Drosophila melanogaster: one gene and its partners. The protein of the gene in region 3 interacts with the protein of the main gene of each other region in a pairwise test. Each region holds a gene or a part of one and is shown on either strand. Other genes may lie near its edges. The genes, in order: CG5913, Es2, CG13083 and Golgin84.

The links.
Region 1: the proteins of CG13083 (region 3) and CG5913 interact in a two-hybrid assay, tested with the Drosophila melanogaster proteins (one large-scale study listed by BioGRID).
Region 2: the proteins of CG13083 (region 3) and Es2 interact in a two-hybrid assay, tested with the Drosophila melanogaster proteins (one large-scale study listed by BioGRID).
Region 4: the proteins of CG13083 (region 3) and Golgin84 interact in a two-hybrid assay, tested with the Drosophila melanogaster proteins (one large-scale study listed by BioGRID).

The regions. Positions count from the first base shown.
Region 1 is NT_033777.3:25,891,739-25,895,966, reverse strand, and holds CG5913 (uncharacterized protein), read right to left. Parts: upstream 2,473-4,228; 5' UTR 2,398-2,472; coding exon 1,033-2,397; 3' UTR 941-1,032; downstream 1-940. Other genes in the region: Sodq (sodesque), read right to left, coding at 1-87; Lnk, read right to left, coding at 3,165-3,518, 3,933-4,228.
Region 2 is NC_004354.4:8,459,201-8,464,092, forward strand, and holds Es2 (Es2), read left to right. Parts: upstream 1-2,278; 5' UTR 2,279-2,370; coding exon 2,371-2,722; intron 2,723-2,864; coding exon 2,865-4,018; 3' UTR 4,019-4,149; downstream 4,150-4,892. Other genes in the region: CG15347 (uncharacterized protein), read right to left, coding at 24-182, 1,566-1,623; Sptr (sepiapterin reductase), read right to left, coding at 4,321-4,892.
Region 3 is NT_033779.5:19,485,148-19,489,487, reverse strand, and holds CG13083 (uncharacterized protein), read right to left. Parts: upstream 1,999-4,340; 5' UTR 1,965-1,998; coding exon 1,111-1,964; intron 1,054-1,110; coding exon 957-1,053; 3' UTR 797-956; downstream 1-796. Other genes in the region: CG10194 (uncharacterized protein), read left to right, coding at 1-188, 276-680; CG13084 (uncharacterized protein), read right to left, coding at 3,092-3,531, 3,591-4,340.
Region 4 is NT_033777.3:24,355,431-24,360,018, forward strand, and holds Golgin84 (Golgin-84), read right to left. Parts: upstream 2,509-4,588; 5' UTR 2,447-2,508; coding exon 1,111-2,446; intron 1,056-1,110; coding exon 841-1,055; 3' UTR 640-840; downstream 1-639. Other genes in the region: CG6454 (uncharacterized protein), read left to right, coding at 1-223, 286-348; CG18528 (uncharacterized protein), read right to left, coding at 2,781-3,767, 3,824-4,129, 4,448-4,588. UniProt on the Drosophila melanogaster protein: May be involved in maintaining Golgi structure and in intra-Golgi transport.

The DNA of each region.
Region 1 (4,228 bases), on a different chromosome or scaffold from region 3:
CAGTCGATCCAACAGATTTTGTGCACTGCCAGGCGCAAAAATGCCGCCATAACCAATTACCAACGCCAATATCAGTTTAATGAGCATTCTAAACTGGTTAAGTTAGGACTCGAATGTGAGAAACTTGCGACCTCACCGTTCTGGGGCTTCGGTTGAACTGATCCAAGCGCCCGACTCGGCTCATCCATGATGACTTCGACATGGTTTTCACGCCGATTGACCACGTTAATTGTCACCGGCCTGCGGATCGCAGTGGTGGCGATATATAGACAGATATATAGCCGGCACATTTGATGACTAGATTGGAAGCTAATGGCAATCGAGTGTCGCGTGTGTCTGGGTCTGATGCCTGGTTACCTGCCACATGGGCGTACTTCTTGCGGGGATTGAGGGCAAGATCACAATCCCATTATTGAGACGTTCAGAAGCGGTTGACAGTTCAATAATATCGAAGCATAGGTAAGCTATTATAATTATATTACCACAAATTGGAACAAAGTACTGATGAATTTATAATATAGTATATATGCGTTGACGGTCTATAACTAAAGTTTAACTAGATCATCGTTAAAGTGTATATCTAGTATGCAATATTTTGTAACAAAGCGTTGACAGTAATGTACTCTATTGAATATTTAATTTTTAAATTAAACAAATGGTAATACCAAATATACGTCACAAACTATATAATATAATGCTGTAATAATAATTCATTAGACTTAGTCCGTTGCCCTCATTATCTATCTGATTAATTTGACTATAATGTGAACCTAAAATGGCTAATCACGAACACATTGAAAGTGAAACACCTAACCCAGATTCCCAAAAAGCGAAATCGACACGCGAGATTTGCTGGCAAATAGATGGCATATTTAGTTTATTTTATAAATACCTGCCCATTTGCAATAATTAACAAATTCGTTAAATTTCGCAATAAATTAAACTGGGGTATGCGTGCGATTAAAGACATGTAATGTTAGTAGTTTACAAGAGGATCAGTCGTTTATGGTCTACATTTTTGGGAATTAGGGATCATCGGTAGCCGCCACGGTATCCTCCGCGACCGCCTCCACCTCCTCTGCCTCGTCCTCCTCCATCACGTCCTCCTCCATCACGTCCTCCTCCATCACGTCCTCCACCATCACGGCCGCCTTGTGGATTCCAGCCTGTACCCTGCACACGGCCACTCCCGCTGATCCATTGCTGATCATTTCTATCGCTGCGGTCACGTTGTTCGTAACTTTGGTTTTGATGTTGCTGCTGCTGCTGCTGAGGCTGCTGCCAGTTGCCACCTCCACCTCCTCCTCCACCTCCTCTTCCTCCACCGAAGCCGCCACCGCCGCCGCCGCCCCTGCCTCCTCTGAAATTACCTCCTCCACCGCGTCCGCCACCTGGAGGACCACTAGCCCTTTGCTGCTGCCACGAGGGCATCTCTGGTGGCGGAGGAGCATGCTCATTGGCCCTGCCTCCGCGATCGGGTACCCGACCAATCACATGCTTTTGGATTTTGGAAGCCGTATTCTTTCTCACATTCGCTGAGCTTGTCTTCTCAATGATGGCCAGATCTGAGCGAGCTGCCAACAGGGCGACCAAGTCGGTTTGCTTTCCGCCCACTTTAAACTGATCCAGCTCCCTCATCTTGCGATTGAATCGATCCATGATCTCATTGGAGCGCTGACGCATAGACTCCGACCACTGAAAGCTTTGTACAGTGGCCTCCAGACGCGTGGACATCATCTGCCTGCGCAAATTGTACTCCGCCTCCAGTTCTCGGTGCAGGGTCTCCAACAATTGCCATTGTGCATCAGTCAAGGGCTTCTTAAGCTTCAACAGCGGTTCGCTGAGCACTTGGGGATTGGTTTTTTTAATGGCCTGCTCCAAGCGGGGAGTTATCTTCTCGAAAAGCATCTTGGTATTGATGTTCTTAGGCACTTCGCCCAGCTGAAGATCCTTGGCTAAGTTTTCGACAACCTGTTGGACATTCGTGTCCACCTTCGATCGTTTGCAGGGTGGACCCACGGGCTGGGCCTTCAGAACCATTTTGGTGGTCATCAGTTCGGATGTGAGGTACTCCAGCAGCTGCACCAGTGCCATACGGCTCTTGAATCGCTGCTCTATGGGTCCCTGCACCAGCTCGCGGTACGGGCAGCCAAGTTCCGTGAGTAGCAGAGACAGCTCGAAGGAAAAGTCTTTGTTAAGGGCTTTGCCCTGATTCACCCGCTCATCGGTTTTCCGCAAAATGTGCAATTCGTGGGCGAGCCAAAGAACCACCTCTTGCATGTCTGGACTTTCAATACCCGCGTCCAGGGCACGACTCAGATTTTCCTGCTTTTGGCAGTGCCCTTGGAAGGACAGCGCCTTCAGGGAATCCACCAAATACAGTTCCAGATCTTCCATATCCTTCGAGAGTTTCAGCTTTTCCTCGAATTGTCAACTTTTTGCCTCTCACCGGCGTGGCAATGTGACCATTGCTTTGTGGGTCGGAAATATCAAAAACTTTTCCAAAGCCAACCTGCCAACTTGTCAAAATAGCGCTGCGAGGTTAGCACGGGCACATACCATGCAAATATTTTGAAAAACATTTTTCGTTACCTTATTTCAAACGAATTTATATATAATATAAAGACTTGGTAAAAGTAATTAAAATAACCACTTTAAAACCCAAAGCCCAAATGAAAGAAGACCGACGTTGGTTTACTTTTACATAACTTCATTTATTGTAGTTTACCAATTTCAATATATATTTATGTATATATAATTTATATTTATAAGTATGGTATATATGTATGTATTTTTGTTTTGTAAAGCAGGAAGTTTTAGGATTCGCATGAGTCGCACCTTTGGTGCCCACAAAAATCGTACAATTTTCTTTTGCGTTTTTTTTTTTTTAGGTTCTTCTTTTCTATACATACAACATTGATGTACTTAAAATGAACACACACATTTAGCTATATAATGTATACATAATAATGTTCAGTTACTTCATGTCTTCCAAAAGAGGTACTAACTAAAATAGAAACAAGTGAATCAAGAAAGCAAAGAACGCACATTGATGCGAAAAAAAACACAATTTTCCTCTCCTTTAGGACAATGATTAAAATGGCACAAAAGTAAAGTTCCGCTGGTTAAGCCGCGAAATGCAGTTGATGATCGATCGCGCGGACTTAGGTGAAGCTGTACTGATTATCGACGGCCCGTCCGGTGCACTCGGCTCCTCCACTGGATCCCGATCCGCCTCCTGCTCCGCCGCTGTTGCTGCCGCCATCGCTGGGATGCCGGTTGCCGGAGGAACCCGCCTGATGGTGGGCAGCTGCCTGAAGGGAGGCGTTCGAAGCCCGCAGATGTGGCTGGTCCAGGAAATTCTGGGCCGGTGGCGGTGATCCGTGCACTGTTAGCGTTGTGGGATCCAAATGGAAATAGACTTGCTCCGGAAAATAGACGTGTGTTGGCTCCTGTGGCAGTTCGATTTCATTTGTCTTTAGGCGAACACTCAAATTCATGGTAATCACTTCGTTGCACTGTTGGAAGAGTATTTAAAATAAAGTTTAGTTAGTCTGGAGACTTTTTCGGGGCGGTCTGGGGTGTGTGGTGAAACATGAAGCATGCGACAATCAAATCAAACTAAACACGAACTAACTAAAATACAACATATTTACTTGAAACAAAGGGTTCCAAAATTCATTTATCCGGTTTTGAAATATGCAAGTTATAATTTAGAATTTTAGCTTCATTGATTGATTAAAGTTACTATTGGAATCAATCTTTGGATTTTTAAAACAAAATGTAAGTTAGTTACTAAGCTCTAGATTCATCAGTTCACAGTTCAAGCCCCATCCCAGTTGATATGAAATGATAACAACTTAATTGAAATCAAAGTAAAATAAAAAACCATCACTGACACTGAATTGACTCCAAAATTTTGGCTATCTCACATGTCTCGGCGACGGATGGCCACCGCCAGCAGCTCCCGATGCAGTTCCTCCCGCCGCATTCGATGCCGTCGATGAACCCTGACCATTATCGTAGCCATTGCCGTTCCCATTGCCATTCCCATTTGTCGAAAGATCGTTGAGTTGTCCTGAGTCATGATTTGCTGCCGTCGTCGGGTCATTCAGTCTGCTGTGTGAGTGCACCCATTCGGTAAGAGTCACATCCGAAGTGCCGCCCGATTCCAGTGGTATCGGGTTGTGGCGGAAGTGTTCGAGCATTTCCTGGATCGAGGGAAACC
Region 2 (4,892 bases), on a different chromosome or scaffold from region 3:
GGGTAATCAATGCGATAACATACCCAGGACGCGGGAATAGCAGTTGGAGGATCCATCGGAACAGTTGCGATTGAGCAGGCTCAATGGATCTGTGGCGCAGCGTTCGTTGTCCTTCGAATTGCACTGGATGCATCCATCTGCAAATTGAGCGAGTGGAACGGAGCGTTTCGATTGAGTCATGCCTGATTAGATTAGATCAAGTTTTTCGTAATCGTTGCGTTGGCATAATGACATCATATTGATTTCGTGCAAAGTCTGCCTACCTACCACAGTGCATATGTGTTTGAATGTGTTTGATTATTTCTTTTTATGTATCTACCTGCATGCCTTATTACAATGACGCGCACTGTACTCGGATGGCAATTGTCTCGATTTTCCACAATCGATTCTTACGAACATGCCCATGACAAGTGAATCAGCAAACTTGTATGTTTTTGATAAGAAGAGTCAATTTACATTGGCTATAAATCGAAAGCTTGCAAGCAAATTATATTTAGCATATCAGGTGGCAGTAAATATTAAATATTTACCAAGTGTTTACATGAAAGTACGAATGTACGAGATTATGTTTCAACTTTAATAATGAAACGGAATAACTATGTACTTCATCACAAAGAGAAATTAAATTACCGCTGACATACAGCTGTGTTCATAAAAATAGCAGTGCTTGAGTTTAAAATAAAAAAATCTTAAGATTTCAAGTTTTAATGGGAAAATTTTTTTTATAATATCATTAGGTATTTAATTTTAAACAATTCAACAAATGTTTCACATTCATTTTTTTAATAGTTTCGAAAATATAGATTAAAACAAGCAGAAATAGCAGTGCTATGAAAAAATAGTAACAAAATTCAACTTGACTTAGAACGAACTTATTCTTAGCCGATTTGCTTCTGCGTTTCTTTATTTTTTATTTTTTTAATTTATTGCCCTTTTAAATATACAAATTCAAATTCAAATTCAAACTCACTTTTTAGAAAATATTGATCATTTCGGGAGTTTACGTTGGTCAAAACCAGACACTGCTATTCTGTTGAACAGCCTAAAAGTTGTGATTTTGCTCAAGAATGTAAATAAAAAAAAGGATAGCATAGAAAACTAACGACATTTTCTTTTTTTCCCTATCTACACATTCCAATTCACAAAAATAAGTGGAATAAAAATTCGATCCCGAAACATGAAAAAAAAACCGTCGCATTTCTTAGTTTCTCTTGCACTGCTATTTTTTTGAACACAGCTGTATGTACACATGGTTTAAATATATGGCGTACAATTTTCACATCTTTTTGCTGGCTCACTCACACTTAGAAAAAAAAGAATATGTTTGCCCAGTTACAAAGCTAAGAACCTTTAAAAGTTTCTTTGGAAACTCGCCTATTGATAGCTTATCATGAATTTATTTCCGTGTCCATGATATCACCGCTTATCACACCTTATATAAAACACTCAATAAGTTTTTCAATTCAAAGAGCAAAAAGAAAATTAAAAAAAAAAAAATACGATCCCGATGAAAATTAAAAGTGAAACTTATTTTGGAACAACATTTAGGCAGGTACAACATTTACCACAACTGATGTAGGCCAAAAACGAGAGGGCTGCAATCACCAACAGGTAAAACTTCATGGCTGATAACTGATGTAACTAATTTCACGACGATCGAATGTTGCGACTGGTTACGGAGCTGAACCAGAACTAAGGGAGTAGAAAAGGTTCAATGAGTGATTTGAGTTTTGCCGAGCTTTATACCCTATTCATATATACCTACAGCTTTACGATAAGGCACCACGACAACAGTAATTCTATTGGTGAGTTGAGAAAAAAAAGTGTTTTGAAATGATTCACGACGCTAAAGTTGTCGCTCTTTGGCATACATTCATTTTCATAAATTATGTTCAGCGGGTTAGTCAGCGCACTTGCGAAACTTCCAGATGTTTTAAAAATATATCTTTAATGTTTGCAAAATCGTAATAAATTTCATTTTCAAGTGCTAGCTAATCGCATTAAAATTTCAATTCAAATGCTAGCGCGCATTTGAATGCGTTCCACACTTATCGATAACACGTCGATAAGTACTCCTTGCCAGAGTTTTTAATTAATATAGTTTAGCAAAATATCATTTTGTTTCTATTTAAATTTAAATTGGTTCATACTCACCAATTTATTGTAAAGGAAGTCGAAACTTTTAAGCTGATTAATTTCACCTTTTACATCCGAGAATTAAAAAAAAATACAGGGAAATATTTTGAACCGACGTTTTGTTATTCTGAGTGAAACTTAAAACGGTCACACTTTGCTGGCAGACAAAAATATTCACTTTTTATATCTAAACAAAACAAAGTTATTTACGAAAAAAGCGAGATATAAACGGCAATGAGCGCCACGACTAGAACACCTGCCACACCGGGGACACCTGGCACTCCCGGCAGCCTGGCCATGGAAGTGGCCCGCGTCCAGAATTCAGCACTCGCCGAGTTTAAAAAGCCCACGGCGATGGTGCGCCACAAGAACAAGCCAAAGATCCTTACCGAGGAGAAGTACATCGAGGAGATGTCTAAGATCATCCAGCGCGACTTCTTTCCCGATCTGGAGCGGCTGCGTGCCCAAAACGACTACCTGGACGCGGAGTCACGGCGCGACTTTGTACAAATGGCCGAGATTCGGGAGCGCTACAGTCTGGGCAGGATTTCCGGGACAGGAAGAAGCACCAGCCGACGGAATAATGGTGGGTATTGTACTCAATTGGATGAACACCACTGGCACATCGCTGTCTGCTACTATCTTACTTGAAATCAAGTCTGATGAAATTATACATTGGCCAAGTTCAATAGATAGACCCATTAACTTTTTGAATTCCTTCATTTCAGCCATGTCCCCGGCCACATTTGAGACACCAGTGAGTCAGGCGAAATGTAGCAACACCCCATTGCCAAATTCCCGGGCCACAGACACACCATTTTCCACGGACGGCTCCGAGAAGAGCGATGCCGAGGGCAGGGACACCACCGCGAAGCTATCGCTGGACGCCTTTCTGCAGAAGTACACCAGCGAGGATAACCAGAGCTTTCAGGAGATCATCGAAACGGCCGAGGCCAAGCTGCGCCAAAAATACGCAGTACTGTACAACCATGAGAAGCTCTCCGCAGAGCAACTGCAGCGGGCCCTAATGCTGCCCAGCATAGAAACGCAATTCGAGGAGCCAGATCCGCTGAGAAAGATCGAAACCTGGAACTACACCAACATGAATTCCATTATGTACGTGCCCGATGGCGTGGAGTACACAGAGGAGGAGCGCGTCCAGTTGGCCGAACGGAAGCAGAGCATCCAACACAATGCCACCAGGCTGCCCGATGAGGCAAAGCATCGCGAAATGGACACTAAAAAGCTGAATGATGAAGTGCCCCAAAATGGGGCTGGTGGTGCCACAGCTACTCCGAAGGTACGCGGCTTCGATTTGTTGCGTTCACCATCACCGCGACCCGGAGAGGCTTTCTCGCCCATAATGACCTGGGGTGAGATCGATGGCACTCCCTTTCGCCTGGACGGAGGCGATACCCCATTGCGGCCCACACAAGGACCCTCGTTCCGGATTAATGAGAACTCTCGGCGCGAAAACATCGCCATCGCTTTGGCCGAAAGGGTCAGCGAAAGGATGCGAAATCAAAAACAAATGGCTCTGGATACGGCGCGTCGTAACATTGGCTCACCACTGATACGCACCAATATGGAACGGCTGGCCAGCATGTCGCCGGCAGCGCAGCTACTGGCCACGGGTAAGCTGGGTATCCGCGGCACGCCCCGATTAAGGCACACACCATCGCCGATGAGCGGCAGAAAACGAAAGGTTACGCCCGGCGTGGTGAGGAGCACCAATACGCCAATACTGGGTGAACCCAAACCCAAACAGCAGGCCAAGATTAGCACTCCGGCTAAGAACGTTACCATTGATACGGGATCCACGCTCACGGACGATCTGCTCAAGATACCCACTAAACGACGCACTGCAGCCGATTTCTTTTAGTACATAACATTACCCATAACCCAGCTACATTATTCATGTTTAATTTCATTAGAGAATACTATACATAGTCCCACAGTGTTGTTACGAATTGTATATTTCTTATAAATAGATGCCGAGTTGTTGGAAAGAAGATTTAAGAATGCGTAAATCATAAACATCATACACATATCTTATCAGCTTTGAAGTTCATTAAGATGTATTGGGTGTTGTAGCAAAAACACTTGCGCACATTTTTAGTTTCATTTTAATGTTTCAATACGAAAAACCCCATTACCACAGATAGCAACATACTGATTAACTAGCTAGAACTGCTCATCCCTGTAATCCACATGATCGCCGGACTTGAACTTGAATGCTTCCAGGACTTTGATGAATCGCTCCGTCGTTTGGGCGGGAGTCAGCATGGTCTTGGACTCCCTTTGCTCTCGAAACATGGCGACCACGGCGGGATCGTGGGCCTCTCGCTGAACCTGGACGGTCATCTGTGTGTCTATGACGCCGGGCGCGTAGTTCAACACCAGGGTGTCCTCGGCGGACTCCTCGGTGGCCAGCACTCGGAAGTACATCTCACGGGCTGCCTTCACCGTGCAATAGTGTGCCATCGAGGATATAGGTGCAATGGCTGCCAAGGTGCTGAGATTAACCACCAACTTTGGGATTCCCTTGAAGACGCGCATAAACTCGCAGTTTAGCGAAATGGCCGAGAAGACATTGGAGTGGTAGTAGCGCTGTAGGAAGTCGGTATCTCCGATTTCTTTGGCCCTCTTTGACGTATCGCCCACTGTGCCGGCATTATGAATGACTATGGCTCGCTCGAAATTGTTCTTTCCACCGGATGCCTCCAGAATCTTGGTAAAGTCCTCCGTTTTGGCCG
Region 3 (4,340 bases):
ATGCCAGCCAGTTCCTGGAGCTCTGCAAGCAGCTGGATGTGCTTCCAGATGTCTGGTCACTTCACGAGTGGTCTGTCTGGCGCACGCCGTCCACGTTTAAGAAGCGCTTCGAGACGGCCTTCTTTATGACTGCCCTGGAACAGGAACCCAGGGTTCACATCGAACCTAATGAGGTCAAGGATTCTGCGGTAGGTGGGTGGGATATTATACGGCACAAGAGCGATACGCGAAACCTTTAAGTTGCATTTAATGTACTATCATTTATATTATTGTAGTGGCGTTCCCCATTGGACTACCTTCAAGCGAGCCTAAGAAAAGAACTCTGGCTGCCGCCTCCACAATTCTATGAACTTTCGCGCTGCCTAAACTTCTCCTCTTTAGATAACCTGCGTCAGTTTGCAGCAGAGCGTGAGGTCAAAGGCATTCAGCTGATTCATCCTGTAGTGCACAAGTGTACAAATGGATTAGTGCATCTCTTGCCAGGAGATGATGCTTACCCCGCCGATCCGGATGCAAGTAACGAAAAAATTGAGATCGATTTGTCAGTCGAGGAATTCCGTTCGAAGACGAATGCTAAATTACATCGATCGGAGCACTGGAACCAGCATCAGTCGCAGCTGATAATTAAGTTTGAGCGGGATGATGGTCAGGTTCATCCATTGGATCCAACAAAATTATAGAGGTAGAGCCGGTTTCCTCTATGTCAGGTGCATTTATCTAGTTTTATAAGTTTTCCAACAATTGATATATAAAGTTGGACATAACACTTTTTAGCAATATACAACTTATAAAGTTCGATTTCCTCCATTTACTCTTGTTTATTACATTGTGTTACAGAACGGTTTAATATACAATTATATAAGATAGATAGAATCGACATGCTGGGATTTGATATAGGAAATCAAGCAATTTCTGAATATGGCATAAAACATCTATCTTCAGTTTTCGTATTAATGCTACTGGCCCTTTCCATACCAAAGTTTGTATAGGTATTCAGCCTCTTCTTGGGATGCATAGACGTTCTCGTATCCTTGATTGCCCTCTGGTTTTGGCCTTAAAATGAAAAGAGTGGTTTTAGTGTGCACCCAGAAGTAGGGCATACAAACTTACTTGTAAATTGGTGCGTGTTCCGGGTGAGTCCAGATCTCGTGGGGCTTCTGGTGTGACGGATTTTTGTGCTTGCAGCCATCCAGCGTCCTTTCAATGTTCTTCTGATTGTTCAGTAGGGCAGCCAGTTTATGATCGACCTGTGAGGTGGCCACCTGCACTCCATGGACAGTGTGCTCGATGCTGTTGAGGCTCTCGGACTGAGTGCGGTTGAGAATGACCAGACCCCACTCCAATTGATTGACTTTGCGATTGGCACGATCTGCCAGAGCCTTAAGTTCGCCCAGATATCCCACTTGACCCACGATGTTGCGCTGCTGCTCCTGGAGGACCTTCGCTTTATTGTCCAAGCCGATGAGTTCCCCTATGACGGCCTGTGATAGCAGCTGCTGAATCTCCGACAGATGCGAGTTGACGGATGAGGCCACTTCATTTAGGTTCTGCTCGTATTTGTTCTGATTGGCAGCCACTTGTTCCAGGGCTTTCCTGATTTCTAGCTCCACTTTGGTAAGATTCCTAATAGAGTTTTCATTCTGACCCTGGATTGCGTTAACAATGGCTGTCAAATTTCCCACTCCAGAGGCCGTGGCTTGGAAGCTGCTTTGAACGTTCGATTCCAGCTTGGCTATGGCAACCTCCAATCCAGCAATGAGTTCGATCTCGTCGCGCTGATGCTTGAACTTCTCTTCAATGCCCTTCTGCACGTCCTTCACTTTCTGCAGCCCATGGTTTAGCTCCTCCGTACCTTTGATCAGCTCCTCCACCTCACTGCGGATCTCATGGATGGAGTCCAGATCCTCAGCTGCAGCCGCGCATAGGTAAATGCATATCGTTAGCAAAGTCAGTCGCACTCTCATGGTGTTTCTCTGATGGCCGCTCCCCGCTGAGTGTCTCTTTTCGATCCGAACCGCAACTTAAGTAGCCCAACTTAAGGTCCAAAACGTGTCTTAGACTGGGTTAAGTTCTATCAGTTCGGTCACCACCCACTTCTCTTCAGCGGGTGCAGGTGCAAATGCTGCTCCAATCTGTAATAGTGTGTTTACGAGAATTTCCCTACTACTAAGAAGATAGTCGCGAACAACTGTTTTATCATCTTGTAAAAAGAAAGAACTAAAGCGAATTATGTTGCATGTAGTCGTACTAAATAGTTATTGGTTCATCGACATCTTGGTAAAGTTAGGGAAAATCCGTGTAGTGTCACGTTTCAAAATTCTTCTTTGTTTCTAAACAGAACAGATTGACCCGGTTTTTTGTGTGCTACGGTAGTAATAACACCACTGAAAAACGTGCCCCAGCTGCTTCTTGTTCAAATTCATTCAGAAAATAGGTCTTCGAAGGTAATGATAACGTAACAAATGTTTTCGGGCATACTGTCTATCGTTTACAAGAAATAAAGTAATAAAGCGAACTAAAGTAATTTTGTAAAAGTTTAATAAGTCTATATTTTGTTTCCTATTTCGAAAACAGCAGTATAATTAATTATCCTTCATATTATCATGCCTATTCAAAAATTGGCCAAGATGCCTTTTGCAAATTTAAACAAACTTGGATCCTTTACTATTAACTTTTAAAAAAGCTTAAAATATTTTTAAAATTTGCTTCTATCAACAAACAATAGCATAGGTTAATAGTAAGGTGAATTTATTTACCTACAAAACATACAAAATAACAAAAATTTCTTCGTATATTTTGAATAGATTTTGAGAAAAGTTTTTGGAAATTGAATGTATATTTTCGCATACGATGCTAAAAGTTGATGCATATGATTTCCATGAAACTATAGCATTTTTTCTCAAAAGTTATTTATTAATTACTTGCTAGGAATATAATCAAAAATGTATTTCCTTTGCTTTTTTTTTATTTATTTATAAAACATAAAAATTGTACAAAGTAATGAATCTGAATTAAAAAAAAAGAGTTTGTTAAATGCTTTGAAAAGTTGTATCAGTTTCAGTAACAGTGGTAGTCCCAGTTAAATCTTCCTTTAGTATCCTTGGGGGAGGGAACTGTCTCCATACCAAATCCTGAAGGATTCTCCTGGCTGGATGGGCTGTGGCTTGTAGATCTCCTCATTGTAAGACTGTGGCTCGTGGTGGGGCTTATGAGGTTGCTCGTGGTTAGGTTTGGGACTGTAATCCACAGGAAGCTTGTAGGATTCAGGCTGGTCATGTGGCAAAGGAACATAGGATGCCGGAGTAGGGTGCTCTTTCTTGGGGCACGGCTTGGGCTTGGTAACGGAGGTGGGAACGTGGGCCGGAGCTGGGTTCCATGGCTGATGGTGGTGAACTGGAGCGGACTGGTATGGGGATCCGTACTCCCACGGCACCGTCTGCCGCCAGGACACGGCGCTGGAGCTCTGATAGTTCTTCTTTGGCTCGGGGGACTGGGCATAGGCGGTAGCTTTGTGGTTTCCAGAGTGCTCTCCTATGAACGACAAGCCATTAATTTGTGATCCTAATCTGGTGGCAATAAGGACCACTTACCGTGCTTGGGCTCCTCCTTGATGCTCCACACCTGTTCCAGATCCACTTGCTTGGGCTTAGGATGAGCATGCTGCGGCTCTGGGACCTCAGCTCCGTAGGTGGGAAGATAGGACTCGTCGTGATGGCCATATTGCGGATAGGGCTGTTGTCGGCTGCACTCTTCCAGACCCAGTTCGATGCGTTTCTGCGAGATGATCAGTTCGCGGAGAACAGCCTCCACTTTCCAGGAACTGTGGGGCTGCAAATGCTTGACTGCATCGATTAGGATGTCCAAGCGCTGCTCCTGAGTGCGATTCAGCTGCTTCAATTGATGCTCCAGCACGTTCAGCTTGAAGTTGGAGTTCTCGCTGAGCTCCTTGACTCCGGCCAAGTTCTTCAGCTCCACCTCCACGTTGATTTGGGACGTCTCCAAGCTATCGAAGGTACACTTTAGCCCATTCAATTGTGGCAACACCGTCCTAGTAATAAGTTTGGCCAGTCCGTCGATGCTGTTGTCAATGTTGCGGGAACTATGGAGCACGTGCCTCTGATAGGCATCCAGCTTGGCCTCCAGGACATTGAGTATCTCCTTGGTGCCCTCCTGCAGACGCACCAATTCCAGGAGCTCTGACTCCGTTCGATTGCCGTATTCCTCGCCCTGCCTAGAGAGGTTCTCAAGGGTGGCCACCAGATTGTGGGAGCCAACCTCCAGAACGACAGTCAACTTGGCTAGCAGCTTCTCCACGAGCGTCAGGGCCTTCAGTGCCTCCT
Region 4 (4,588 bases), on a different chromosome or scaffold from region 3:
ACCTGGTGGTCGTATAGATAAATATTTGGGCAACCTAAACTTTTTCTTTATTCGGGAGAGCACGTCGATCCGGGAAAATGGTGGCATCAGCGGATTTGTCCATGGCTTCATTACCGAACTGTTGGCTGTGGTGAGAGCACACATCGCTTCGCTGGGCGGAAATGCCATGGTCTCTTTTTACATCACCGAACTTATGTTGTTCGATAATCAGCACAAGAATCAGGTAAGGCAAACACAATGATCTACTTACCTTAAAGTTTTTATACTGAAATCTTGTATTCTTAGGGCCAGTGCCTGATTAGCATCGGAGGCGATGCTGTCTATGTGAGCTACCATGCCGATGACTGATATAAAAACTTGCGGGGCATATAGCGCATGTTTTACGCGAATCGTCCCAAAAGCGTATACTCTCTATTTTCTTCCGCTTAGCTAGAACTATCAGCTCTGCCCAGCAACTGGAGTTAAACTGAAGTTAAACTAATTCACGTTTACTTAACAATTTTACAGCATCTGTAGATGGATTCTTTATGCAATATTTGAACTGTGAGGAATCGTTCTAATCCTAACTTAGTAGTGCTAATTTTTTCGGTCTTGTTACTTGTTTGCTGGATGTTTTTAGCGTTAAATCAATTGCAATTTCTGTACATAGTTGATGTTTATTGAATATTGAATTTAGAACGAGTGCGAGACACAAGTATAATATCGATATATACAATTGTTGCAACCACAAACATGACACATATACTCGTACCACTAGATATCCAATTTTGGCGCGTAAAATACAATACATACAATATTATGGAAATACAACAATTGCTCAACTAAATGTATTTGATTCGATTAGTTTGGTGTAGTGGAGAGCAGCACAAACATGACCCACAGATGTAGTAGGGCCACGTAGACGATCACAGAGACCCGCATCATGGGATAGCGACGCAGAAACGTTCCCACCCGAATACCCATGGAGTCCGCCTGGCGAAGGGCTCGCTTGAAGCGTCGTGCCACACGATTATCGAATGGACTTGGATGCATGAGAAGCGGGAATTGTGCTTTGACTAGGTAGAACTCATATTTATGTAATTTCTGGTACTCGCAGAATGTTAGACTTACCATCATCTGTGCTGTTGAGCATAGTATGGCGGGAGCTGCCCCTTTGGCTCTCCATTTCCACCAAGTGCATGTTTTGCTGTAGCTGCGTCTGTGCCTTTTCGTGCTGTAGTCGCAGGGCATTTCTCTCACTCGTAACTCTTTCCAGAAGACTTTGACGTTCGACCAGTGATTGGGTTAAAGCCTTTAGCCGAGTCTCGTAATCGCTCTTGGCTCCCGTGTTGGCTTCCTCGCTCAATCGCTGACGCATCTGCTGAAGCTGCTGCTCCCGCTCCTGGAGTCGAGTGGCGGCAGCAGCCATTTGGTTACTAAGTTGCTGCCGCAGTGAGGCCAGTTCCTGCGTGAGCACTCGCTGATCGGATTCGGAGGTCACACTGTGTTCCCTTGCCTGTCGCAACTCCTTTGCTAGTGTTTCCTCGCGTTGGCGGGCAGAGCTTAGTTCCACCTGTCGTTGTCTTTCCTGGGAAACGTAATCGTCCAGCTGCAAGCGCGCCTTTTGCAGTTCCTCGTTGGCATGCTCTAGTTCTTGCTTAAGTGACTCGTGTTCAATTTGCAGAAAACGCGTTTCACTGTCCTTGGACACCAGGTTTGGATCTGCGCCCTCCTCCGTGGGCTTCGCCTTCAACTCTGCGATGAGGGAATCCTTTGCTTGCAGAGCTCGCTGAGCCTTGATACGGTATTCCTGAAGCTCCTGGCGCTGCTGCTCCGTTTCCTTTGTTTGCATTTGCAATTTGTGAGCGGCGCTTATGTATTCCTGCTGCAACTTGGCCAGATTGGTTTCCAGTTCGGAGATGGAGTGCACATACGCCATGTTAGCTGCCTGGGCCTCATTGTAGTCATGAACCGCCTTGTCCCGCTCTTCGGACAGACTTTTAACCAGAGCTTCCAGCACCTGGGTGTGTTGATGCAGATCAAACTTTTCGGTTTCGTTATTAAGATCTTCCAAGCGCAGACGCAGTTCATCTCTTTCGGCCGTGATTTCATTCAGGGCGATCTTGAAGGCAGCCAATTCATTTGTGTCCATTGAGTTGGCGGATATGTCGGGACTGTTGGAGAAACTGGCCGACGTGGTCATCTTTTGGCGCATGTCCTTAGTGACCACGGAGACCCCGCCATCGCTTTTTACACTTGATGAGCTATTGGCCCCCGAGCGCCGCACTGGCGACAGAGTGGACTTCAGGGATGTGGACAGTGATTGGGTGCTGCTCGTCATGCTCCTACGCATGGGATCCGCTGAACCTGTGGCGTTCTCTGTCTGCAGGGCCGTTGCCGCATTTTGGTCCAGCTTGTTCAAAATGTTTTCGGCCTTGTCCGCCAGTCCTGTGATCCAGGATGACATATTTTTCTAAGAAAAACAAATCTCTTCGAGTAAAACACGTAAACAATATCACACTGTGTGCCCATATCGCTATCGACTGCGGAATGGTCAACTCCAAAGTTAAGGTCACTCTAAAAGTAACGTAATTTTGAAAAACCTTTTTTCTGATCAAAAAAATATTTATATGAAAATGTAAGGATTGGTTTTAGAAATAAATGTAATTCCAATCTTTCTTATCCGTGCAGAAATGTTAATTTATTATGCTTATCAAAACTCTAGGGTACAAATGAATATTTTATTCAATACTCAACATGGGCAGTGTAATCTTCGCAACTCACAACTATAAACTATCTCTTCACTTTCCAATGCAAAAGTCCTTGAAGACCACGTCGAGTATATCTTCGCAGCTGATGTGTCCGGTGATGCGTTCGATGCAGCGCACGGAGTTGCGCAGCTTGGAGGCGGCTATGGCCATGTCCGGGTAAACGTCGGGTCTGTAATCTCGTAGAAAAATATCAATGTTCTCAATGCAGCGCTCCAGTTGCTGACGGTAGCGTGTGTTTGTGATGCGTGGATTCTCCGCCCGCGGTTCTCCGCACAGTTCTTGCAGCTGCTTCTCCAGTGATCCCAGAAACACGGGCATCTTATCGGGCTTATGGCATGATATGGCTAACACGTTGGACAGCTTGTCCAGCTGCTGATGCTCCTCATCCGTCAAAGTGTCGGTTTTATTGGCCACCAATTGCAGACGTTTCCCTGAGCACATGTCCAGAGGTATATCCAACTCGCCCAGATAGCTATCTACAAACGGAGCAACTGCGTCGTCGTGCGTCAGCTGTGCAATGTTCTTGGCTTCTGCTAGGAGCAATATCAAATCAGATTGGACTAGACAATTCTTGGCTCTCTGCATTCCCTCCTGCTCTATACTATCCGTAGTATATCGGCGTAATCCGGCTGTGTCGGAAAATACCACCGGGTATCCTCCGAAATTGTGCATTGTTTCTATAATATCCCTTGTGGTGCCCGCCTGATCCGTCACTATGGACACGGATCGCTGGCAGAGGAGATTGAGCAGACTACTCTTGCCAACATTGGGTGCTCCAATGATCACAGTGCGGACTCCGTCGCGGAGGAGCTCTCCCTGCCGCTGGTCACTCAAATGCTCGCGAATCTCACGCTTTACCGCCTTTAGTTCTTTGCCGAGTTGCAGGATGATGCCGCCTTCGATTTGCTCCTCTTCGGCGAAGTCTATGTAGGCCTCCAAATGGGCAGCACAGCGAATAAGTCGACGGCGCCAGTTGTCGTAGAGTCGAGCCAGTGCTCCAGTGCTTTGTAGCAGTGCCTGGAGAAAGAAGAGACTTGAAACAAAATTTATGAGACCCTAAGTCCACTGTCTACCTGCTTTCTTTGCGCCTCCGTTTCAGCATGGATAAGATCGGCCAATCCCTCCACCTCTGTCAAATCCAGTTTGCCACCAAAGAACGCTCTCTTTGTGAACTCTCCCGGCTCCGCCGGCCGCAATCCATCCACTTTTCCCAGAGCATCCAACATGGCCGCAATGACTGCCAGGGACCCGTGTACCTGAAACTCGCAGGAATCCTCGCCAGTGAAAGAAGCCGGTCCCGGAAACCAAAGTAAGAGCCCACGGTCAATCATCTCTTTGCTGGCGGGATGGTAGAAGGATTTCAGATACGCCTGACGAGCCTATATGGAAAAGTATTTATAAAGGGAACTATAAGTTTCACTATCATAGAGGTCTCTCGTCTTAAAACCTGGCAGCTTGCCAATTATAACAAATTAAGCAGTTCACGAAATTATTCAATTTATTTAGTCAATTATATGTAAGTTAGGAGAAATTTGTTTATTTTTATACAGGATACATCTCCCAAAATGTATATAAATAAGCAACAGGTCTTTTCATTTGCATACATATATTTTGGATACTAGAAAACAAAACTATACACTGCACAGGTCACGACCCCTCATATATGGAATAATAAACGTTTATATCGATTGACTTGCCTTTGGCTCGTATTCTTTGTTTGCAACAATTGCTCGGAGGGCCTTCTTTGTTTGCGGCCCGGAGACACGGATCACGGACACACCGCACTTGACATGACCGGAACTGAGGCTGTAGATGGTGCATCCGCTGCTGGCAAAGCG